Linked DNA regions of Neodiprion lecontei. The protein of the gene in region 1 interacts with the protein of each later gene in a pairwise test. Links are inferred from orthologs where the notes say so. Each region holds a gene or a part of one and is shown on either strand. Other genes may lie near its edges. The genes, in order: moesin/ezrin/radixin homolog 1 and rho GTPase-activating protein conundrum.

Evidence for each region.
Region 2: the proteins of moesin/ezrin/radixin homolog 1 (region 1) and rho GTPase-activating protein conundrum interact in binary tests that used the Drosophila melanogaster proteins (3 or more experiments, as listed by UniProt). The link is inferred for Neodiprion lecontei from reciprocal best matches to the Drosophila melanogaster genes Moe and conu.

The regions. Positions count from the first base shown.
Region 1 is NC_060262.1:27,734,855-27,747,593, forward strand, and holds the start of moesin/ezrin/radixin homolog 1, read right to left. Parts: upstream 7,192-12,739; 5' UTR 6,807-7,191; coding exon 6,786-6,806; intron 5,156-6,785; coding exon 4,976-5,155; intron 1-4,975. UniProt on the Drosophila melanogaster protein: Involved in connections of major cytoskeletal structures to the plasma membrane. Together with wgn, involved in control of axon targeting of R8 and R2-R5 photoreceptors, independent of egr.
Region 2 is NC_060262.1:805,029-817,706, reverse strand, and holds the start of rho GTPase-activating protein conundrum, read right to left. Parts: upstream 6,178-12,678; 5' UTR 6,159-6,177; exon of another isoform or gene 6,058-6,158; intron 5,589-6,057; exon of another isoform or gene 5,423-5,588; intron 5,417-5,422; exon of another isoform or gene 5,069-5,416; intron 4,790-5,068; 5' UTR 4,696-4,789; coding exon 4,554-4,695; intron 4,201-4,553; coding exon 3,959-4,200; intron 3,854-3,958; coding exon 3,726-3,853; intron 3,635-3,725; coding exon 3,438-3,634; intron 3,303-3,437; coding exon 3,137-3,302; intron 3,019-3,136; coding exon 2,853-3,018; intron 2,780-2,852; coding exon 2,602-2,779; intron 2,528-2,601; coding exon 2,361-2,527; intron 2,284-2,360; coding exon 2,106-2,283; intron 2,025-2,105; coding exon 1,674-2,024; intron 1-1,673. Other genes in the region: uncharacterized protein LOC107222650, read left to right, coding at 8,140-8,275, 8,424-8,941; uncharacterized protein LOC107222649, read right to left, coding at 10,189-10,451, 10,535-10,872, 10,947-11,013, 11,125-11,155. UniProt on the Drosophila melanogaster protein: GTPase-activating protein (GAP) for Rho1; functions with the ERM protein Moe to regulate Rho1 and control proliferation in the developing epithelium. Recruited by Moe to the cell cortex where it negatively regulates Rho1 activity.

The DNA.
Region 1 (12,739 bases):
GAAGTTCATCCGATGTACCTTACGTTACAAACGAGTTTATCGTTATTCTTTTCAGGGGGGAAAAAAATTGCTGGAATAAATTTGCATACATGAATAAAAATTAAAAACAGAGAAACAAAAAAAAACTCAGAAAACAAGTCGGTAAGTTTTCCAACTGCATTTTGTTGAATACATGGAATTGTTATTGATCCAAAGTCACGGCCAGTATAATATCCTCCGCATATAAACCACAAAAATTATTCTAAAGATCTAAAAGGATTGTAAATACAGGTGAGGCCAAGCCGTGAGTCATGAGCCACGAATTAACAAACTGTAAGTGAATGGAGTTTTATTTTAAAAGATGAGCCTCGAGGATCGCGAGATAAAGAGATATTACACATGTTCTCGTTATATGCGTATACATATGTTTTTTACACGAATAACGAGGTACTGCATCGGTTTCATCTTACGAAACTATTTCGAATTTATAGCCGATTATACATATACTAGTGAATTTCTTGTTTTTTCTCCACTTCCACCGCACGTATTTTTAAGGTAAAATCGAAGAGTGATAACAATCTAGAAGAATTTTTCTTAGATTTATTACACGACTTACGTCACTGTTGTACAGATTATACAGAAATGTACGAGTTACTTATCAATTTCTAATATATCTTGATCGATCGTCGCCTTAAATCCAACGCTGATGAATTGAAAATATTTATTCTCGCAAAATATGATTGAAAATTTACTATACTCGACAGGCTGAATAGTTCGTTCTGTTTCTGTTGTAGCATGTGGATATAGAAAAAAAAAAAATAAATAAATAACCGACGCACAAAATTGCGAAAATGGAGGTAATTTGAAAATAGTAAAGATACGCAATAACAATATGAAGAATTGTTATACTGCGGTAACAATAACTCTATAAATTCATGGAAATTAATATTATTGTTACGTGACGAGATAAATAATTGTCACCATGGAGCAGAAAATACTGAATTCCGTCGTTTAATCCAATTTGCATATCTTCCGCGTGTTATAGGTATGTGAACAAAACGGTCGTATACAATTATACATCCATATCGAGAAAAACAGAACAGATCAAATGAGTTACATACGTTATAAGTTATTTACGTAACTCCACCTGTTTGCATAATTACACCGACCACTAGTACTACTGCTTATACTACTACTACTGAAAACGGGGCATTTGACTGTGTAGTTGATCGAACTTTGATCAAAGTATTAATTAGAGACAAATATGTTTTATTATTATAAGTGTAGAAGGCTAAATGAGGCAGATTGGTGTCGCAAATTGCTCGTTGCGTAATTTAGAAAAAAAAACGACATGACGCTGTTATGATGCCGACTTGAAAATGCAGGTAAAAATGCAAAATCTAGTTACCTGATTTAAATAGATTCCCTGTATTTGGATAGAATAATACGTCGAATATGTACAATAAAATCTTGGGAATTTTAGTTCGATCTCTTGTTCATTTATATTATTGTTCGTTCAAATTTTAAGATTAAAAAAAAAGTAAGAACAGTGAGGTCGAATTGACGCAGAATGTCCCGTACATAAAATCTGCGTCACTTTATTGTAAATTATAATTCTTATGTAGCAGCTGAGGTAAATAAATTCAAAAAACTTGTAGTAAGAAGCGAAGAATTTTTTTGTCGTCTATTTTCCGTTTTCCTTTTACCCATTACCGCAAGATAATTGTGTGTACTTAATTGAAAAATGCGGTGAATTAGGTAAAGGAAGGGAAAAAAACCGTTACGCTCGATGCGCGCGCAGATGAATATGGAAGTAGAAATGAACATAAAACCAGTGAAATCGAAGCAAGATTTAAAGAACTGATAAAGAATATCTTTAATCTGCATAGATGCAAATTTGGATATTATAAAAAGATATATATATATATATATAAATATATATATATAAATATATATATATAAATATATATATAATAATATATATATATTTCATGCTTGTTGCAACCATCGTGACATATTGAATAAAATTTAATTTCTCGTCGACGATCAGGATCTTACGTAATTAATAGGTCAAATGTGTGTAGCGTACCTACAACGAGAGAAATTTTTACTTGTGGCAACCGCACAGTTTTGAACTATTTTCATTTTTAACCATAAAATTGAAAATAAAAAAAATCTATTCTTTGGTACAAAATAAAAACAAGTTTTGGAACCGTAACCAGAAAATTTAATGAATTTTTTTGGTAATTATAAAACGTCACCGTTTTCTGTTAGTGATACGAGGCATAACGTGCACATAAGCTTTCGAAGAGTAGCGAATAAACCGACAATCATCGCTACAATCGCGACTGTGTCAAGGTGAAGGTGCGTTGCGAGTGAAAGCCGCCAACCATGACGACTACCGACCGACATTCGCGTGCAACTAGGGATTCGCGATTGTTTAATCTTGTTCCGAATCGAAACTCGAAACGGTCGTTAAGAAAAAAACACAAAAAGTTGGGCAGCTAAATTGCGATCGAGAGATATCACGTAATATGAAAGAACCGTGAAAATTTTGCATAAAAATCTAGCACTTCGGCTTGAAGCGAATAAAACACGGAAACAACATTTATTATACAGCAAGATGTGTGGTTTTTTACTGTGTTTTTTCTTTTTTTTTTTGCACTAGATACGTACTCGTGTACAATTTTACATTTTAATCGTTTCAACAGAGTCTAGGAATAATCACTATTATTAATTTAAGGATTCTTCGAACTTACAAAAACGTACGTCAGTTAAAAAAACTTTTTTTTTTCTTGGCTGCTACATTTATTGCTGTACCGACTTTGATGAACGTTAATCAGTAAAATACATTTTAAAGAAAAGTTCAAACCGTTCAACAATTCGTAAGTATCAGGAAAAAAAGACATGAGTAATAATTAGTCGAGTTCTGAAAAACTGCGAAAATAAAGTTTCAAGAAAAATTTCTATGAAATTTGGTCTCATCTTAGAATTAGACAAGTATCAGAATTTTTTTTCTCATTAATAGCAAAACTCATGGACAAAAATACCCGGCGTCAAACTGACATGGAAAATGCCCTACTGATCCGAGATTTTCTTTCGTCGCAGTTAGGCGACTACACTTTGCGCCGCGTATGGTTATAGAAGTTCAGGACACGAGGCAATCTGGGCTGAGGACTGCGGAGAGATAAGGTAAAGTGGATATGTATAATGTATATACCTTATACATATATGTATAGTTACGCACGTATCCGGCGAGAATGGCGGTGACATCACAAAGTGTCCCACACGTGTTATTTGTCATTTCTTTTTTTCTGATTTTTCCCTCTCTCTCTCTCTCTCTCTCTCCTTCCTTGCATACGTACATTTTTTTTCCTTATCGCGGTGGAGAAGAGTGGTTCATCTCAAGAAACCCCAACGGCAGAGACGAGGACTCGTTGGACTTTTTCTCGCCTTCTTTATAAATATATCCACAGACATGATGCGTGTTACGTCTACACGTATAGAGGTATACAATATATAAGTTTACAAATTTATGTGGCAAAGTGGCGTCCATGTAATCACATAATACAAGGTGTAAAGCGGACTATTTTTTGTTTTTTCATCCTGAATATAAGAATAAATTAATATCGTTAATTATCGTCTAACAATTTCTAACGGTTTGAAAAAGCGAGGATAATAGGCTTCGCATTTGGATCCTAAGGACGGTACGTGTACGTACAAGCGGTAAATCCCACGTGACATGGACCGGTTTTGTGGCCGATGCAGTCTCGCCGCGCTCACATATTTCATTAGGTACCTATACTCGTCAAGAGAATATTTTTTCACCGAATGTACAGGCGAGCCGAAACTTTTACCACCAACTTCTGCAGCCGATGTAGAATAAGTTTCGTTTCGTGTTGAGGTGACCGTTACAAACTTAATAAAGTTTTCGTATAAACAATTAACAGCTCTTTGCAGCTGGTTATGGAAATAAAAAAAGTTATTGAAAATCTTCCAATTTTTGCTGTTTTAAGTTTTTTTTACATACCAATTATGTATTATTCCAACTAAGAGGAAAATTTCAAAGCTAAATTTATCTTTTCGTACTGTATACCTATTATATGTAATACGTAAACTATTATTGCAAAGAGCGACGCTGCGGGCAAACGTTGTTTGTCAATCGCGTTACGTAGAGATGTTAATCGAAACGACGTTTAGGTTATCGATAATTAATCGTCGATATTGAAACGGTCGGTCATGCGGTTGAAAAAATCCCTCAACTTTTCCTGCACTCGCAGGCACCAGACCACAACAAAGTTCATGTAGACAACATTATCCTATAATGTATGATACTACCGTACAATTACGCTACGCCGTAAAATTACATCATTTTCGAGCTCTACGCGTTGTAGCTTCGAGGTTTATATCACAAAAACATACATGCAAAGAAATAATAATTGTCATCAAAATTGATGATGTATAAACGTGGGATTTGGAATTTGACAATTATACACATTAGTAGCAGGTTGGTATCGAAGCGGATTGATTAATTACCGATTAAGACGAGTGACAAGCTCGTATTTTTTTTCTAGCATACATTGAATACCGAAAGAGAGTTGTCAGTAAAAACACTGCACAAGCTCGAGTACGTTCACTCACAAAAAATATTACTCAAACCCTGGAAGATGAAAACACTGTGTGTATCCGCGTGTAATATATTTTTCAATCATTCAAAACACAAACGAAGCAAACAGTGCGCTGACACAAGATCAAGATGGCGGCCTTTGCGGTACACGCTTGCGATCGTGTTTCGGCTCTAATATTATTTTCAACGCTCGTCGGTCGCGAAGCGTTCATTCACGCCAAAGAATACGATGGCAAGCGTAGTTTTAGCCAGTGAATTTCATCTCCGAGAGACTTCCAAGTATATAATTGATGAACGAAAATTCACTCAGGATCGATGTAATGGGTTCAATCTCAAATCAACAGTTTACATCTTATTACTCGGTCTTACCTTTTTGTAGAGCTTGATCCACGTGAGATCGCCCTTGCTGTCTGTGTACTGCAGACCGAAAAACCAGACCTCCCTTAGACCGATGGTCTTGACAACCTGGTCGAAGAGTTGTTTCCCTGTCGTCGTCTGCTGGATCGCGAACTCGAGTTCCGCGTCCATCGTCGTCACCCTCACGTTCGTCTGTTTCCAACGAACAAAAAGAAAATCGATTATACTTTTTTCAATTTTCCCCCACGTTCGTCTTAAAACGTATTTAATACAGTTTTATTGGTAACGACATATACTGCAGTAATAATGCATAACGTGAAGTATTACAGTTGTAAAAATAAACTGAAATCGATCAAATATTTTTTCAAAAAACTTCTTATAACTCACGAAAGAAATGTAAAGTTTTTAATATGTTACGATGTCGAGAATACATATCTTTATATCTATATATATATATATATATTATTATAAACAGTAAGAACTAAAGAGCAAGAAGAAGAAGAAGAGAATTCTCGGAGTACAACAGGTGGCCTTCGGGGCGAGAAGCTAAAGCCACAGCGGTATAGCCACAAGGTAATACCTATACATATAATATAACCACACGATTGTTAATCGTAAGATTTCAATGCTGCTGGCGGGTATAATACGGGACTCGTATATAACAGCTATTACGAAATGCATCTTGGCGAATAATTGGAAATTATTATACGTTACGCAACGATCTGCTATACAGAAATACACGCATCTAATTATATCTACATCGGCGAATAAAAAAACTAATACAAGTATACCGCATATATAGGTAAGTTTTGACCATCGTCATGCAGCCATTTACACGCGATTGCACTTTTATACATCTTCGAACCTTGATTGCTGCTATTACCTGCGTTTTTTTTCTTTTTTTTTTAATTCATTTCTTACGTCTAACGCGGAAGTAAATGGCATCCCAGATTTTATGTCTAAGTAGTTAATGTGCACGCCTCGGCTAATTGTCGCCAAGAAAATATATGTTAATAGGCGCAAAGCGATATTGAATTCTTGATAATACGATGGAAAGGCGTTACGCATATGATATATATGTACGTTACATATGAAACTTGAGTGGACTTTACGCCGAACAAAATGAAAGAAGCAGTTTTACGCTGGTATGTTATAGCTTGAAGCTGCCGTGAGAACGAAATTGAGGCTTCTTTTGTTCCTCGAGACTATAAAGGTGTATATAACACGCACCTTTATGCACCATACTGATTTTCTCACGCAGGAATTCCTTCTTTTTTCCCCGATTCATGATGCGTGGTAGCAACAATGAATTTCTAGGTCGTTAATAATTACAATAGTCTGATTCGTGGATATCGAATTTCATTTCGTCCCGCATTAATACGAATCTTGTTGAAAAGTTGGAAAAGAAAAGTGACTAAATTTCCGAGTAAATTTTATTTGCAGCATATTGTAATTCGATCAGAATTGCCGTTTCGTTTGTCAAAATCATGCAAATAATATTTTCTTCCGCACCATTATCGATGAAAAAAAGTTAAACACCTGTATAATTATCGATTCGATAATTCCCTGGTCATACAAAACTGAGTAACTGTGTACAGCATTCCTTATACATCCGGTAGAAACGAGTGGCATTAATTGCGCTCCAAATAACGCCGCCCGTTTGTGTAACAATCAGGCATTAATTGCGTGTAACGGAAGAATGCAAGCTCGATGAGTAATCAGGTAAATCGAATTTTAAACATTACCTTATTACAGAGTAATCGATTAAACTGATTTAATTATTTTCTATCATAAATGTGTACATAGTTTCGTTGAATCGTACCATTTTAGCACCGGCCACCATTGTAGACGAGATCCCGAAGGAGAAGCAAACGGATCGACGACGCTACGCCACAGGTATCAAAACGAGGAGTAAAAATTTGAAGAGACCGATATCCGTCGATTGTCAGATGTTATAATTATCCAGGGATGCACGAGTTTGAAATTATCCACACAAAAAAAAAAAACCGAACAACCACTTTTATTGAACACTCTCGCTTTCAGTTCCTTCTCCGGCACCTTGTCCTCTTTCGAAAAAAGAAGCAAAATCCAGGAACGCGAAATTCACCCCCCACACTTGATAAAACCCGCGACAATGATAAGATTTGAGAAAAAAAAAAACTATTTGAAAACGAAACTGCAGTGAAAGCAAAAGGCTTGATCAATCGTTCGGATGAGGTGAACACAAACTGCGCCCAACTTCTCGCCGTTCGAACACGAAGAAAGAAGACTTTGATCACGTGACGACGCCGGTTAACCGCCGGCTTTTTTTCTCTCCGGTCGAGGTGGGGATAGGAGTGATGCAGGTTGGCCAATCCCCTCGGCCGTCGACGTTCGTTTGTTCGTTGGGAACGACGAGCGGCTCTTGAAATTTAAGAAGAAACGACGGAGTACGTACGACGTCAAAGATGCGTCTCCACCCCGGAAGATAAGAAAAAGAATCTAAAGTGCGGACGTGATTAGTTTCAAGTTACGAATTTGATGCGACGATCAAATTTGAATTATCGACAGAATTGCAATTTCTTTCTAAAACACGCGCCACCTGTTTGATTTGCCTACACTGTTCGATTCTAGTCTTTTTTTTCCCCCATTATGTTGACGATACTGTCGCGGATTATTTTTTTTTAAATGTCAATTTTTAGAATCTGACTACCGTCGGAACGTTAAGGCACGGGTTAGTTTCAGTTCAGACCAATTGAAGTGGTGGATTTTTTTACAGTACATGCAGATTACAACTTAAATATCGTCCTTAGACGACTTTTCTGGATCATGAGGTTGAAATTTGTAACGATAACGAAACGATGCATTCGTGCGAAAAATCGTTTGAAATTCTGTGAACTATAACAATATTATATTACTGACAATTCTCATATTGCAGAATAACATTTTCTCAAAAAATGCATCGTTATATTAACGTCACGAACTTCAATAATCATATAACGGCAGCTATCTCAAGTCTCTGCCGGCGTTTGAATTAGATTATCAGATGTATTTTAAAAAAATCATTTTTATTTATGGATCTCTACAAGTTTAGTTCACGGAGCTTGTACGTTTCCAATTTACTCGATCCATTATTCCAAGTCAAACATATCGATCTGAGTAAACATCCCTGCATCACAAGTAAAAATATTCTTCTCGATTGTATATTCAAGAAAAAAAAAATAAATAAAAATCAATATGCGTAGATCCGATTTTTTAAAATAACCGTATTATTTTCCGTCACAAAACCCTGCACTGTCCCGTTGGAATAGGAGCATTGTACCGATGCTTATATACATATAATGATTCGAATTTAATGTCGAGATCTAGACCCCGGATTCTACAAACTGTTAAAAATCGCGTCATGGACATTACTAAACGTCATTATGTATACTACCTATATAGGTGTGTAGACGCGAAATGAGTTATCGTCATATGTATTTAATTCAGCTCATGACTCTCCAGCGAATTGAGTATAGATCTGATACGTGAATGATTCACACCATAGCAGCGGGATAAGGTGTCACCGTTAAATGCGGCATCTCGTCTTGAAAAGGAAACCGTAGCCTGTTTCCATTAACTTCTCGCGCGTGTTATTATTATACATTATACACATATCAGTATGCGAAATGAAAGTATAAATGTATTATACTTATGGATACAACGCATCTATAATGCGAGTTTAACCTGGCGTTATGCCATTACAGATCTGATATAGTATACGACAAAGTTAAATTTCAAAATTTCTGTCACCAACTATTGAATTGTCTGATCTCAACCAATCCAGCTACCGAGCAATAAACTGTCGGCGGTCTCTGTCTCTTCGTAGTACATAAGTAAATGGTGCTGTAACGTACGTGCTTCGATTATGATGCATACGTCACAACATTTGCAAAACTCACGACGTTGCCCAGCTTTGAAACTTGCTACACAAACGCCTGCAACGAGCTGGCGAAAAGGCAAAACAACCGATAAGGCTTGCGAGAAATTCGTAATATAACAAAAAAAAATATTCAACATGCGGATACATTTCATTCATCATTTGCAAAGAATTCCGATGAAATTCCTTCGCTTCGTGGCCGGTGGCAAGATGACGAATTCTGAGTCATTTGCAGATAATGTACATATCAGAAATGAGTCGTTTTATGCGGAAGGTAAATGGATTATTGGTCTGACGAATAATCGCGGGGAAAACTTTAAACAAATTCATTCTTTCCTGTCGTACTTTGATAAATCTGCTTATAATTAATTTCATCAAAGAAGAAGAACGGGTGCCGTCAACTCTACGATATCTTATCTCAGGTAGAAACCGCCCGCTTTTGCCTTCAAAGTGTCTCACACCTCAGAAAATATAATATACGTCTTGTAGTAATATGTATAAATATTTTTTTTATTTATCAAACTAGGTTATTGCAACGAAATATGTGTAACGATAATATACAGCGAGACATTATTATCGTCATCGTCCAAGCGGATGATGATTTTTCCCATTGTTATATAAATACAAGACAATTTGAAACAGAATTTACAAATACGATATGTATTATAAATATCTGCAAGATTCAGTTACCGACGCGGTATAAAGATAAAATGCATTGATTAAACATTTGCAAACATCGATTGAGATTGAAAACCTGCAACGATAACGATCAGCTAAGTAGGTGAGAAGGGAAAAAAATTTTCATACGATAAAACGAGAATCGCTTCGATCAGATTGTCCTTGTCGTCTGTTTTATGTGTAGGTTATACATATTATTACGGAACCGATTGGACAGGAGATGAAAACTCAATTACAAACCTGTGTGCAATAAGGTTTCGCGGCCTAACATCTTGCTGGAGTAAAAGAAAAACAACGTATATTACATAATTTTATACTTATTAATTAATTACTGCTGCCTAAGAAGAATAAAAAAAACGCCCTTGTTTCTAATACTATAATTCTTCACGTGGAAAAAACAACGCTCGTCTAAATAGTACCTATTACAAAAAGGACTTGTATTACAATTAGTAAAGCTGATTGGTTCAGACATTTGTCCTCGTATTTTCTCGAGTATACCATTGCAAACAAACTTTCGTAGCACACAGGATTCGAATGGATTGACACGGTAAAAAATCAAAAAAAAAAAATCATTTTAAAACAGAAATGGAAATGAGAATATAGGTATAAGCGATTGACGTCCTTGTCCCGACAGAGATAACGAGATTATTTCGTAATTAGTGCGAGGAAGGAAATCGTCGTCGAGGAGGTGATTTTACAGCGCGATAAAATGGCCTAATTCTAGTACCCTGAACACCTAACATTGATAATAACAATGGCAAAGAGTAGTGGACGCGTTATCTGGTCTCCGTTATTCTACCACACACTTACCGACTTCGGCATCTTGGCAGCTGTGCTGGGCTCGTTCTAGGCAGTGAAACTGTCAGCCTGAAACAGATAAATTATTAGCACTGTTGCAGAGTTACATCACAGACTGGATAACAAACATAGTCGAACAACAATAACGCGGCAGGCAAGTACAGGTTGCCGATGCTTGATGCAGGAGAATAAATAATTACCGATGAACCGCAGGGATCGGAATCCGCTCGCACGCGATACAAATTTCAGTTATGTTCCGCTCGGTTCGTCCCTGTGCACGGGAATGACTCTTCACTATTGAACGTCAATCTCATTGTCGGACATCCCGAGCGATTCGCAACGTTTTTACTTCCCTTTTATTTTTATTTATTTATGCTAATTTTTTTTTACCACAAGTACGTATCGTACAGTTTCGCCGTGTTTTCATCTCGGCAATTTTCATATTCATTTCCAACTATAAAATTGGATCATGCCCGAGGTGATTTTCGATATATGAAAATGTTCTTCAAACCCCGTTGAACATTCATCGATTAATTGATTTTGAAAATGGGAGAGACTTATGGAAAAACATAATTTGCTGTTTAAAAGAAAGGACCATTTTACACGATGCCTCGAAAATTTTCTGTCAAATTATTAAGTTGAAAGCATCATCCGATCGACAAGTTTTGGGTCAGTAATTTATTGTATTGTTTTTTCCCCTCAAAGGATTAGGCACGTCGTATAAGATAACAGATGCAAGGCTGCTGAATAATCACGATTATTTGTGATTGCAGTATTAAAAAGTTTTGCTGTGAATTGAGTATTTCAATGAAATTTTTTTATTTCATATTCTTGTAGATTGGAAAAAAATATTTTGGACGTAATTTATATTCTTTCGATTGAATCAAAATTGCCATTAATATAACAGATTGAAAACTATAACATTGTGACGTCACCCATGTTAAGATATATCTATATATATATTAAAATCAATGAAATTCAATCACGTACAACATGAAAAATTATCATTCTTAACGAAAAACAAAAAACACGTCCTCGTTATTTTGGCTTCAAACGCATTATGCACCCCTAAAAATGGAAAAAAAATTTTCATTCAAACACTCAATTATGCCGAACGAAATAATTCGGTCACTGTGCTGCGCCGCATCTTTTCGGAGCGGCTCGACCGAGTCGTCGTCGTAGTTTTGAATTTTATAAATGCAAATCCGTGTGACCGAGATCCAAGGTACATTATATATGTATACAGCGGGACGACGAAGGCCCCTTCCTACGTGTCTCGGAGGCTTATCTGTGCCCCACTGCGTTCAGTGAACCGGGTTTCAGCGTACACATAGGCAATTAAGTACGTTTCTGCGATTACAAATTTCGAAAACTTTTCGTACCGTTCGCAGCTCGCGCGCGTTAGAATCCTCGATTTCCTCTCTCTAATCGTTAAGGCTGCATACACGCGATACATGCACGTTATACACTAATGTAAGCGCGGTTCTTACCAACCAACCGGTATTTGTCAGGTGTGCCCGTTTCATCTCTCTAATACACGATGAAAAACCCGTTGTATTTGCAAATTCAATTCCCGTAAAATAGCATGTTTTTCAATCTCGGTTTCGTTGCTCCAACGTTACTAACTTCAATAATCATTAGTCCGTAAAAGTATTTCGCTAAAAATATATAATTTTTTAAATAAATTTTAACGCGACATGTGTTTCCGCAGGGTCTATTTTTCAACTCAACGTCACAGGTACAGACCCTTAAATTCATTCCGGCACATTCAAGGCCACCGGTATAATCCGCTACCACTCGTTTAACATGGGAAACTGATACTACCGGTGGTCTCGAACATGTCAGATTCAATGTAATTGTAAGGGTCCGTTCAGGCACAGCGAAAGCTCTTCTCCTAGTCACACACATTATACCTATGTTGTTTACTTACAATAATATATACATATAATCGTCATCGACTTTTTCGTATGAGGGGGATACGGATTATCCTACGCTTTCGACACAGGTGCGTGTAACATGGGCTCTCGGATCACCTATCTACAGCAGCAGGTAAGCTCTCAGCGGCCAAAAGGTCACGGAATATGAATCATGACATTAGGAGAAAGAAACAGCAAAAGGCGGCTCGGCTCGGATCAATGAAGGCGAAATAGAGAAGAGGAAGAGAACTGCACGGGATTGGAGAAGCTACGCCGATGTTATACCTACGTGATCGAAGTACCAATTGGTTCCCGTAGGACTTGAGCGAGTGGAAAACCACCTCGGAATACAGCGTTGTGCCTTTTTAGGTCATCGACTGCCGATGAAATCGGACCTGAATATCGCCGATGGGCAAAATTGAGCGCGGACGTTTCTAATCCTCGTCCGAGAGTCACGGAAACTAGTGAAACGACTCGACTGCGTGT
Region 2 (12,678 bases), about 27 Mb from region 1:
AAGCAGTCCAACCGGTCAGAAAATAGTTTCCTGTTCGTTGAAACGGTATAGTACAGTAGTTATTCAGAGCAAGCCTGCTGCAATTGTATGATGGTAAAGCGATTTACGATTTAGACGATACGCCTTCTTTTCGTCTACTCATAAAGTAAACGTATTCATTTTCTTAATCATTCTAGTATCCCTGTCCAACCGGATCGTGTACAATTCTCGTGGAATTTCGATAGTTATATGACTGTACAATTACAATTGTACGAATAAATAAAACTACTCAAATATTATTACGTGACTGTATATAAACCTTATACAACAATTTCGTAGTGTTACTATCTAGTAACATAAACATCGATCTCATTCACGCTCAATTCTTACACGTAGGGGAAAGAAACCGCATGATGGAATAAGGGAAACCAATAATATTGATCGAAAAAATTAATAAAAGTCTGACAGAACCAATTAAAAATAGAAAACCGAAAAAATTAAAAAGATAATAATCTGCCAATATTAATCTGTATTATGAAACTTCTGCGATCAGATTATACAAGAATACGATTAATAACGAAAGCGACTCTAACACATACGGGAGAATATGATTTCGTGCTACGCGAAAAGATGAATTGAGCAATAGCCAGAAACAGTATTTTGTCTTTGTGTATACGTTTATGTAATATACATAATAGTAAAGTGATAAAATAATAAATATTAACAACATAAAATCATAGAAATTTATAGCACGCGTAAATATGTAACTGAGAATAATTAAGTACTAGGTTTTATGATCTACATTAATTGCAAATTATCGAGTATAAATTTTGAAACAAATATCGGTAATTCCCATTAAACGCCAGTTTACAGTTCCAATCAGTCTGTGACAAATACAGGAGAAGCAACAAAATAAATAAATGAGAATAACGAAAACTATTTATCCTCCAACAATTTTCAATATAAATATTTAATGTTATCAAGATCCCGACAAAAGAATAAAAACTATAAATAGTATGAAATAATGATAACGATTAATGATCTTACAACTATTCTTCCTTATACAACTCAGCATAAAAGATCTGTAAGTTACTTTTTATTTTCGTTATGATATAATTGTAAATTACGATATTCTACTGGCTGGTCAAAATATACAACATATTGTACATATATTTTTGCGATTTTCGAAAAGTTCCCAAGATTTGATCAGTCAGTTTGCGATTTTAGCATAAACAGTGAAAAACCTCTCTTGAAATTTATTTTGAAGCATAAAACAATATTATCAGGGGTTCTGCAATATCTCTATGCTAACCTCGTTAGTCGTTTTATTGTAGAAAACATACGAAAAACTATGATAAAAATAATGTTAAACAAAGAAAAAAAATTGCATCATTTTTCGCATGAACTGAATGCATCCTTAATGATTTATTTCATCATTGATATAGGTACGTATACGATTACCGGTTACGTGCTACAACGGGATAGGCCGTGAATGCCGTGAAAACACATGGTAACGATTATTCTAATTTTAGGCACCAAAGTGAATAAAACAAAGGAGTAAATAATCAAACAAAAAGTAAAATACTTGAAAAATATTCTACAACCAATCTCCTAGTCTAACCTTTGAAACTCATCATATCGACGACTTGACGGACGCGTACCTGAGATTTAGTAGTACTTCTTTTTATACTTACGGTACCGTTCCTCTTCGGTTTGTCTACGGAGTTGATTAATCAGATCGTTAGGAACGTACCACAGGTTATCAACATTGTTTAGAAGAGCTTCTGTCACTTGACAGCACACAGCGGCCATGTTAACTTGGGCTGTTAGGTCGGACTGATCCCTCGGATATATATAACGAGGCGGGAACAGAGACGGGGCGACAATCATCGCCACGTTGTGAATTGACATTTTGTTTGAGCCTTGATTGTGAATGACCAGCTTAAGGAAATTCAGCAGTGCCTTTAAAGTGCAACGATGCTCGACTGGTAGAAGAAGTACCAAAAGATTCAGCGAATACGACAGTTCGCCAGGAGTTTTCACTCCTAAAACACAAAACGGTAAAAACATGATTAAATAACATTATCGCACCCTAAATCGCACCTATCGTAATTTCAGGTACCAACCGTGACTCTGATAATAAGCATCTATAAGTTCAACAGTGAGAAGAGGCTGCGGTAAATCTCTGAGTAATTTTTTCAGCACCGCCGAAAGATCATGGCACGGTGTGCGTCGCAGTAATTTATCGATCTCCTTAGATTTCGAATAGAAGTCAGTCTCCAACTCCGCGCAAAGCGCTTCAACCTAGAAACAATAGACGAGTTGTTACCAATCGTTACTATTCGATTTCAAACCCCTGAGTACTTCGACGTTGTTCGTACTTTTTGCTTGTGTCCCCCGACGCGGAGGATACCCTCTTCCCGAACTCCTCGTTTAGACAGCTCGTGTAAGAGCTTCTGAAAGATCAACGGAACGTTGCTCTCGTCGGCGGTCAATTGGCTGTCTCTGAGCAGGAGAGTGGACAAAGATACTCCGAATAAATTTCCTGCTGAAAGAAATTTGATAAAACCACTCGAACTTGAAGTCAAAACAATTTCTTTCGTAATTATCTAAACCACTTACCTTTACTCCTGCGTTTATTGGGCTTTCTCTTGGTTAAGGGAACATTGTACTTATCGAAAACGGCTGTGAGCTCAAGCCACAGAAGCGACCTAAGTCTGGTCAGGTCTCGCTGAGACAGTAACTCCACTCCATACTTCGGATATCCGTCATCAACCGCAAGCACCTCCGAACCCCAGACCTGAAGAGCCAAAAAACGTTTACATTCAAACGATTTTCGGCTCGATTGTTGCTCTGAGATCAGTTTCTCTCACCTGGGACTTTGCTTCGTTGGTTCTGCACATTTCCTCGAAACTCAGGTGCCCGTGGGACGCGGTTCGGTTCAGCGGATGCGTGATCAAATTCTCGTCCCCAGATCTGCTCAACCCATACAAACTACTATGACTCCGCGTCACAGTCGCATGACCTCCGGAGCTTCTCCTGGTTTTGGAAGAAAAAAAAAAAAAATGATTAGTGACTTGTGTAAATTTTCACTAAATTTTTAAGAGTATCGCACATTCTGTGAGTTTCGTTTCAACAAATCATCACATGGCAATACCTCAGAGTAGCGTGTTCCTTAGCTGCTGAAAGCTTCCCTGCAGGCTCTACATCAAGGTGAGCAGTATTTGCGACTTCACTCGGATCGCTACCGCTTCTTCTCTGTATCGTTGGTCTCGAAAGATGAATAGTGCCAAGACGTTGGTAGGCAGTGAGTTCTATTCCCTCTGCATAAAAAAGATTTTCTACTCAAGTGAAATGTTCATCTTGATTTCGAAGTTTATATTACAAACCGCAGTGAAACAGGAAGTCTTTTTTATTAAACGATTCTTGCAAAATATGTGTAACAAATGTAAACCTACCCGAATTTCCGGCAACGTCTCCTTTCTGCGACCAGTTCCCAGCTCTTCTGAATATTTCCTGAATAGGAATAGGAGACGGAGCTGGATGTGTTGACTGATTTGAAATGGACGTTGGAGCACTAGGTAATCGGCGCACAGCTTCTTTTTCCTCAGTCAAAGGGCGGTGGAATATTGATACAAAACTCGGCACATTTTCGCTGAAAGTAAAACAAAAATGCAGATGTTTATGTGTATAAATTGTGGCCAGTGAACTTAAAAGACGTCAGATATTTTATTCACTCAGCTTACCTGCTCTGATGAACGTCGACTGTAACTCTAGGCGGTGACGGCGGCAAAGCAGTCTCCAATGTTTCCCCAAGTACTGAATCCAGGGAATCTGGTGTCGCACTGCGAGACCTGGTGCCCGTGCTTGAAACCTGAGGTTAATTGTACGGATCAAAGTAAAAGCTATGAAGGCTTTTCAGTAACTAATTTCCGGATTGATTATTTCAGTATTTTTTGAATTAGGCCTGGAATCACACCTCGACATCTTTGAAAACGTCTCTAATATCCGGTTTCCGAACTCGCTGTTTTTGATTGAATCGTTGCTTGACCGTGTGGTTCAGAGATCTGACACGACGTCGAACCGCTTCAGCCTGAGCCCTGGACAAAGGACGAAGAACTGCGCCGAGTTGTTCAGGTTGAATCTCCCTCCCAGCTTTCCACGGCTCAGTTAATTCCCCAAGTCCAGCGGCTCGCAACCATTCAGCCTCCTCTTCCCCATCTTGAGACAAATTGAAAAATAAATAACGAACAACAGAAGAATATCAAACGGCCGATTATAATTGTATAGAAACAATATTTTTTTTCTTCCTTTTATATCATATCCATTTTTTATCACATTCATTTTTTTTTCTCATCAACATTGCCAAGGTCTCCTCAGCATTTGCTGACTATTCACTTTGCTAAATGGAGCATTGTCGATGAAATACACCTCAACTAGATCAAATAACAAGAGTCAGCACGGTGAAGTTATAATGACTCAGACACGGCCTTGCCTCAGGCTATAAGGTACATGACTAATATTGTCTATAACTATATTATAATTCATATTGATATTCCAAACATGATTCCTACCGTCGTAACTACGAGGTCCGTATTCCTCGTCCAGATAATCATCCAGTACTTTGGTTTCCTCGATCATTTTTTTATACTCGTCCCAGTACTCCTGCAGGTTGGCCGTACCCCCGCCATAGGTCGCTCCGTGTGCTCTATCCATCTCGGTGCAATTGGAGTCTGCAACTGTCTACGAGCATCAATGTTGCATCAATGAATGTCCGCATCCAAGCTTGTTTCCAACTTATATAAAATTCCTGAAAATAGGATTAAAAATGTCAGTACTACAGTGAATTTAGTTTTCCTAGTAGACAATTGGAGACTATCTTTCTATCCGGATTGTAATCATTGTATTATTGCTAGATTAGATAAGTAACTTGGCTGAGGATGAAATTCTGAAAGAGTCATCGGTTCTGTAGTTCCCGTAACAAGATGTCTTAAAAACATTACTGCGAAAGAATCGAAAACAGCATAAGATATGTTATAATAACAATAATATTACGATATTACGGTAACGATAATAGAACGAAACCAACCTAACCTCAGCGTATGACAGATCCCGGAGGGAGTGGAGGAAAATAGCCGATGGTTTAAAGTGAGGTTATCTGATCATCGCGAGGTCTCATCGAGCGGTATAACGAGCCTAATTACGGAACGTCGAGGCCCGTTATTCGCTGCAGGCGCGAACAATAGGGGGAATGACGGCAGAGGTGTTTTATCGGGGTAAATAAGGAAAGCAATGACGACTCGAGGTGTCGATCACAGGAATCCGGGCCCGTGTATGAACGCGAATGCGAATACGTGGGCAGACGGGCGGGAAGGCGAAAGACGAGGGGAGGCAAGCGGCACACCCAGCCTGCGGTGTAAATAATAGAAATTTATTTGACTACTTATCGCGGAGAAATTAATGCCAGGCAGACGACCGAGGCAGTTGGGCTCCGTTTCCTCGGTTTCTCCTCCCACTCGTCACCGCGTCTCTCTGATAGCGTGTCGGAATTTTACGGCAGACTATCCAATCTCTCGGACGAGGTTGAAGGTAGTAACGTTACTTTAACGATCTACATTTAGGAAAAATCATTACTTCGATCCTTAGGTTTGTGCGGAATTCAGCTAGTTAATATTCGTAACAAAGAAAACATGTTTCATATTTCGTTAAGCAAATTCCTTGGAAGACGTTCTAAAATTGTACAGCGACGATTTTTTCCATCGTGTTGCGTTGTGTAAACGTTACTAACTTCAGCCTTGTGCTCTCGGCGAACTGCGACGCGCGTTACGTGCATATAAAATTTAATATACATACGTGTATCGTGCATACGTCGTTGTTATTTATTTACTCACGCATAATAATATAATAACCGCGTGCGCGCGCGCATATGCATGATTGTTTTCTCTTTTCCTTAGCTTCGCTGGCTTCGCTCTTTACTCTTCTGTTCACCAGTTAATTTTTATATTTTTCTATTACAGATAGACAAGAAACATCGCGGTATAATTCATTGAGCTCGCATCGCGCGCCCGCCAAATTTACCTGCCATGCGATTTTTAATTAACTTCACTTTGTTGACATCCAGTCACCTGTTGCTCACTCACGTTCCCACACGTATTAACGCAGCCGGATACTTCACTTACCAACTCTTTCAAATGGCACCTGACTCCTCGGGCACCTGCGCCACTCCGATATTCTTTCTCAAATGTGACATTCAGTGCCATCTTGCGATTGTTTTTCAATTCTTCTCCGATCCCTCCGGAAAAACGTTTTCGTATCGCCGATATAGTAGATCTATATCTGACACGAAACACGTTTTTGGAACTAATTTTCAACATAATTCAGAAAGCTTGGATGCTAAAACCTTACCGTAAAACATTATTTGTCATCTGTTGATCCATTTCTATCGCAGGGCAGAATAAGGATTTACTCGATCGGATAGGTTTTAAGCGATACTGTTCATTCGGAAGATCTGTGCTGAAGCATTATACAAAAATCAGTTTGAATTGGGTCAAATTAATGTCGAATTTTAATATGCTGCATATGATGCATCGTCTCATTATCAAATGCTTTTGCAAAAATCGTTCTCTAAATTTCAAATGAAAATTAAAAATTCTAGCCTGGTATCAACCTGTGTCATGTCGTCGAAATTCAAATCAAGCTTGTGAATGGCGAAAATGGAAACGAATATTCTCAGATACCTAATTTCGAAAACATTGATTGAATGCAAACTCATAGTAGACCATTTGCGCGGACATTACAGTTCTGAATGGAACAGCTCGTTTAGTTTCTTGTGACGAATTTCTACATTTGTCAAATAAATATATGCTATCTTCACTTCTGTACCTGCTTCAAACTTCAGACCCACAAATATGGCCAAGAATATTGTCACACTATTTCGATTGAAATTTTAAATGCTTTCATTACTCGGAGTGGATACTACGAGTCACAGTTATGTGATAGGTAAAATGATTATCAGAAGCTTTGATTTGTTTGCAGAAATTTGAAAACATTCCAGTGAGTTATCGTAATATTATTATAACGCGCTCAAACCCTATGCTGGACGTGTCATTTTATTTTTTATTCCTTGTACAATATCGTGTTTGTTTTCATAGATGATCTTCAATCACGAGCAGCATGTTTAACGAAAAACAGTCACCAGCTTACATTAAAAAATTGCGGAGACAGAGGTTCTTTTTATTAGGACTGAGCGGTATTATCGGTTGCGGTATAATCGCAGAATATCTGAATTTTCACAACCAAGTACGATGCATAAGAGATAATAATAAAACATCGCCCGTTCACTGACTTATACACGATGCGAAATTGATTGTTTAATACTTCTGAATTACGACTGTCTCTTTTAGGTTGTTAAGTACACGCAGTCAGTTGCATATCGCGAGATTCAAGAAGCCAAAAAAGACTATACCGCCGAACTGATGAAAAGGAATCAACGATTGTTCACAACGGATCATCGTGATCCAACGTCGCAAAAATAAAACGGACAAACAATAGAAGCGAGGCAATTAAAAAAATCATAGAAATTTTGATGAAATGGCTTTTTGTTTATCCACAAAAAAATCTATTCGGAATATATTACAAGAGAACCGGAATACTTTTTGTCGCTATTCGCATCCTTACTTATCAATATGTTGCGCCTTATTGTAGGCAACCTAAAGTACACAGCGATTTTGAATGCGCAATCGTTGACAGATGACTTGAAAGATGATTACCCCTGTGAAAATTTCGTGATTAGGTTAATACGATGAAGTTTATTCTGCGATAAGTTCACATTGTCTCGTTAATCCTTGTGTTCGCTAAGAAAGGTCCAACTTCCGAAATTACGATGAAATAACTGAATAACTGTTCGTGCCAGGCTTCTGTTTGGCGCCACTTACGTTAAACTTGGGAACCAAAATTGGGTGTTATCACTGATTCATGTCCTGAGAATCGAATGAACGAGCGTGCGTAGTACGTAGCGACAGTCGCGACAGTAGTACGGTTGTATTGCGCGTCCTGACACTGCGCGTGTTTGACGTGCAAATTGGGTATTGTTGATAAGAGTAAAGTGCGCAAGAAAAAGTCTCGTAGCGCAATTAGTACTTAAGGATATAGCAAAAAGAGATGGGAAAAACGATAATTGGAAAATGCGCGGTATTGTGTACGGCGATAGGTTTCATTACCCTATTAATCGCGTTTACCACACCCAATTGGATAGAGACAGACGGTACATTGGAGAGGCCAAAATTAGTAAAAATCGGTACGTATGCAAGATACAAAACAGACAAAAACGCGTCGATATATGATAAGTTGAGTATAAAAATGAAACTGAACCCATCGTCGAGGCATGACACATTTTACAGAGGAAAATGTAAATGGCAATTAAAATCGATGCGCACCTTTTGTAGGACTTTGGCAGGTATGCTTCCAAGGTCCCCAGGATATGAAACACTTCTTCGAGTCGACCAGGTCCTACGGTTGTTTCTGGGTCTTTGAGGACCTCTACTACGACATCTTTGAGACTTTCAACATTAAGATGCCGAGCTCCTTTATTGCGGCGCAGTTCTTCTTCACTCTCTCCATGACGCTGCTTTTCATCAGCGGCGGCTTGGCCACTCTGTTCACTTGTTGTTCCCAACACCACAACAAGTACCAGCTACTCCTCCAGGCAACTGGCTCGATCTTGTTGCTTGCCGGAGTCTGCGAGATGATCGCAATTAAGATATTTGTCACCGAAGACAAGGCTTACTACTGGCTGCCGGACTGGGAGCACAACGTTCTAAGCTGGTCTTTCATCCTCGCTGCTATCAGCTGTGTATTTACAACCTTTTCAGGTGTCCTATTTTTTGCTGATGCCAGGAGGCACAGAATTACCTTGATACAAATAATACAGCAACGACATTACACGCCTAGTACTACAATTTAGGTTTTTAAAAATAGTAACAGAGAAGCTAGATAGTAAGAGAGTGATGTGGATATGTGACGCACAAATATTTTTGTACTCATTTTACTTATACTTCAAGATCTGAGACATATCAAGTATTTGCTTTTTATTTCTATCTCATTATTTTTTTTTTTTTTTTTTTTTTCGGAAGATGAACTTTACAAATGCTCAGAATTTTGAAAAGATACGATAGGCCTTAGCCTGTAATACCTGATCACAGTCCCGACTGGCTTCATGCTGATTGATCTGCACTGAATCTTTATTTACAAGAGGCTTTGACTCGACGGTTACGTGATAATTATAATGTGCCTTGACCTTGGTCGTACATGTGCTCACGTATGTAAAAATATTGTATCTATTATTTATTTATTGCATATTTTTTTTCTCAAGAATAAAAAACATTAGAGTCTCATATATTATGTACACAGTTTGTTGTAAATAAGAATGTCAGGAACATTTTCAATTGAAATTTGACACACTCGTGTAACTGTTATTAATTTTTTACTTCTGTCACATATATTATGTGAGAATTATTTCTAAATAATGTTTTCATTTTGTAATCAAGCTACTCACCAGCAATATGTATTTTCGTATTAATACTCATTGTACATTTGTAAGTAGGGTAGCTAAGTTACATCTCAAGTCTGATGACGGAATAGTATTTCCCCATAAAAAATTAATAATCTTGTTTCGAAAATATATTTAACGTAATATGTTTGTATACGTATCATACACATGTATATTAGTTTGAAAAATTAATTTAGTTTATTTTTCTATGTATGTATATTTTTTTTTCAAGCATAGAAATTCCGCATAGAGGAAATATAATAAAAAGAATGAATAATTTATAAAAATTTTGTCAATATAGTTATTCACTAATCTATGCTACCAGTGTTTAAAACAGGTATATATTATTTTTCGCTCACTCACCATAGTCTCGACTCTCTAGTGTGTTAATACAAGAGATTCTTGATTCAGAAAAAACACAAAAATTTGTTTACGATTAATACATAATTGTCAGAGAATCAACGTCCGTTGATTATACTGCATCATATGTAAATGTGTATAAAATACTTTAAAATCGTGCGTAAAAATATTACTTAAAAAATAACGCATCATTACTATCGATAAAAAAATTTATAGTTATATATATGTATATTTATTTATAAAGTGTAAAAATGGACGGAGTCAATTTTCCTTGGAAATTATTGGATGATTATATGATCAATTTATATATAACCAGTGCGATGCATGCCGTGATGGCTCTGAGGAGTGGGATGCATTTGCATGACTAAATTGCGTGACTGAACACGCATTTTGTAACCCATGCGAGCATCGAGGTATAGAAAGAAGGCGGCAAAAGCATGGAACATGAAAGATATAACAGCAAAAGCGTAGGACCAGGAAAGATGATTGAAGTTCGGATACATGAGCCAGTCTCTGCGCCAGCACTGTCCCCCAAATACGGAAACGGCCATGAACAACGACACAGCTGTAAAGAAAACAGGAAGTTTGAGAAAATCGACGACGAGATTCAACCGTTTCAATCAATGTTATCGTAGGGAAGATTCTGACCAGTTATTGCGTTGAACACACAGGCGATGGAGCTAAGTATCCATTCGTATCTGAGAACGAACTGTAGCGGCCACCTGATGAGTACTAGAGCGATTATTGCCTGGCTAGAGAAAGAGTAAAGTAACCCAATCGTGACGAATCCCTGAACCGCCATGAGCCACGGGGGCAGAAGCCACTCTCTAATGACGTAGTAGTAATGAGAAAAGACATGGTGACACCCGTTGAACAGTTCAGGAAACTGGTAGGCAGGGTGGCGATAGTCGCTGAAGCAGTAAGTCCAGAGTCCCATATTTTTGAATTCGCTGAAAGTCTCCTCGTATGACTCGAGCCAGTATGGACTAAAAGCAAAGTGAAAATCAGTGCGTGAAGTCAATTAGTAAAATGAGTGACGATCAACCGGTAGTTAATTTACCTGGTAAAAGCCATGAGGAGCATCAGTCCAGCGACGTAAGTAACGAGGCCACCGAACACGAGAGCGTCTGGAAGAGAAAAGAATTTCATAAATAGCTTTTGCATGCTGCAACTAGTCATCAACCATAACCGTTATACATTTGAATTATCTGTCAATAGAAATATCTTCAAATACGCACTCGAGGCTCGATGATAATCTTTCATCTCCATCCTGACGTTGTGCGTCGGGACCCTGGTCTCCTCCACGGGGTACAAACACCTGTTAAAACAGTTCGAAATTCAATTGTTTACTAGAATACTACAAAGTGCGGTCCGTGATGCATGTAAAATAGACGACGCTCGTCGACGGTCGCCACGCCTTGTCCACGGATCATGCAGTGTTTAGATTCACCATTCAGTAATGAGCGTGAGCACGGTGAGCGTGAGTGATGACCCTTTCACGCAACTTTGCCAACCTATCAGAAGAATATTTTTTAAATGGCGCCAAAACAATTATGCAGATTTCTTATTTCTATGGAACCACAATGATTCTTCAGATGTTTCAATGGCGCTACAATAATTCTTCATATTTCTCATTTTCAAGAGTGTTGTTTGATGGTATTGAAACTCCATAAATACAGGAATACATAATATACTTCATTTTATCGATTTATAACATGGACAATTTTCTTAGAAATATATAATGATAATTACAGAACGAGGTAAGACAGGCAGATTTATATTCTAAATCTAAACTGTAAGTATAAATATATTAGGAACTTTTACTTATAAAATGTGATTTTATTTTTAATATTTAGGACCACCAGCTGATTAAATAAGTGCATTTGACAATTGCAGACGCTATCTAATCGGTGCACATTTTCTCAGGAACGTCACAATTGGTTGATTTTTAGTCTATTGTTTCGATTTTACAGACAATATTTAGAGATTTCGCTATCAGTCTTGACATTATGCCAGAGATCTTCAGATTTTCTTCACATCCGTGCCTAAACGATAATATTTCTTAATAAAAATACAACGTTTTGTTTTTCTTTAAACGGACCCTAATCTATTTTGAGGTTTAAAGAAATTTCTTCCGGGTTGGCAACGCCGGACGACGCTCGAACGACGATTCTCGCGTTTCGAGTTATCGTCGATAGTCGTGGTCGATCCAAGGATCTCTGTCGCTCGATCGGTAACAAAAATTGAGATCGAGATTACCGCCGGTCGGTAACACGGTCATCGATCGAGAAATATCGGACATACCCCACTCGGTTCTGATACTCGTAAACGATACGTCGATGAACATCGATTAGAAGGGTCCAGGGGAATCTCGTTACTCAGCTGCCTGTGCAGTTTCTGCAAATATGCCGAATGCCTGAATGCGAACGTCTGCAGACAGCGTAACGGACGTCAACAATCCACGGAGTGCTGAGTTCTTCTCGTTGTTTTTTCCCGGCTAATTTGAATACCTGTTTTTTTGATAAAACAGTGAAAGGTGAGGAGGCTGGCCTATCCCGATCCGCTGGTAAACTCCTGGCAGATCTTCCGATCGTTGCACGTACACAATAGTGATTGATAAAAGTGAGTTATTGGCAGTCAGGTGTCGTGCGTACGTACGTGGTACGGTATTCAAATTCCGAGCCGATTAATCCGGTTCTCAGTTATTAAAAAAATCGACAGCGTCAACAGCCCGAGATAAAAATAAGACACGTTGTTATACCTGTTCAGAGAGGGGAGTTGGAACTAGTATT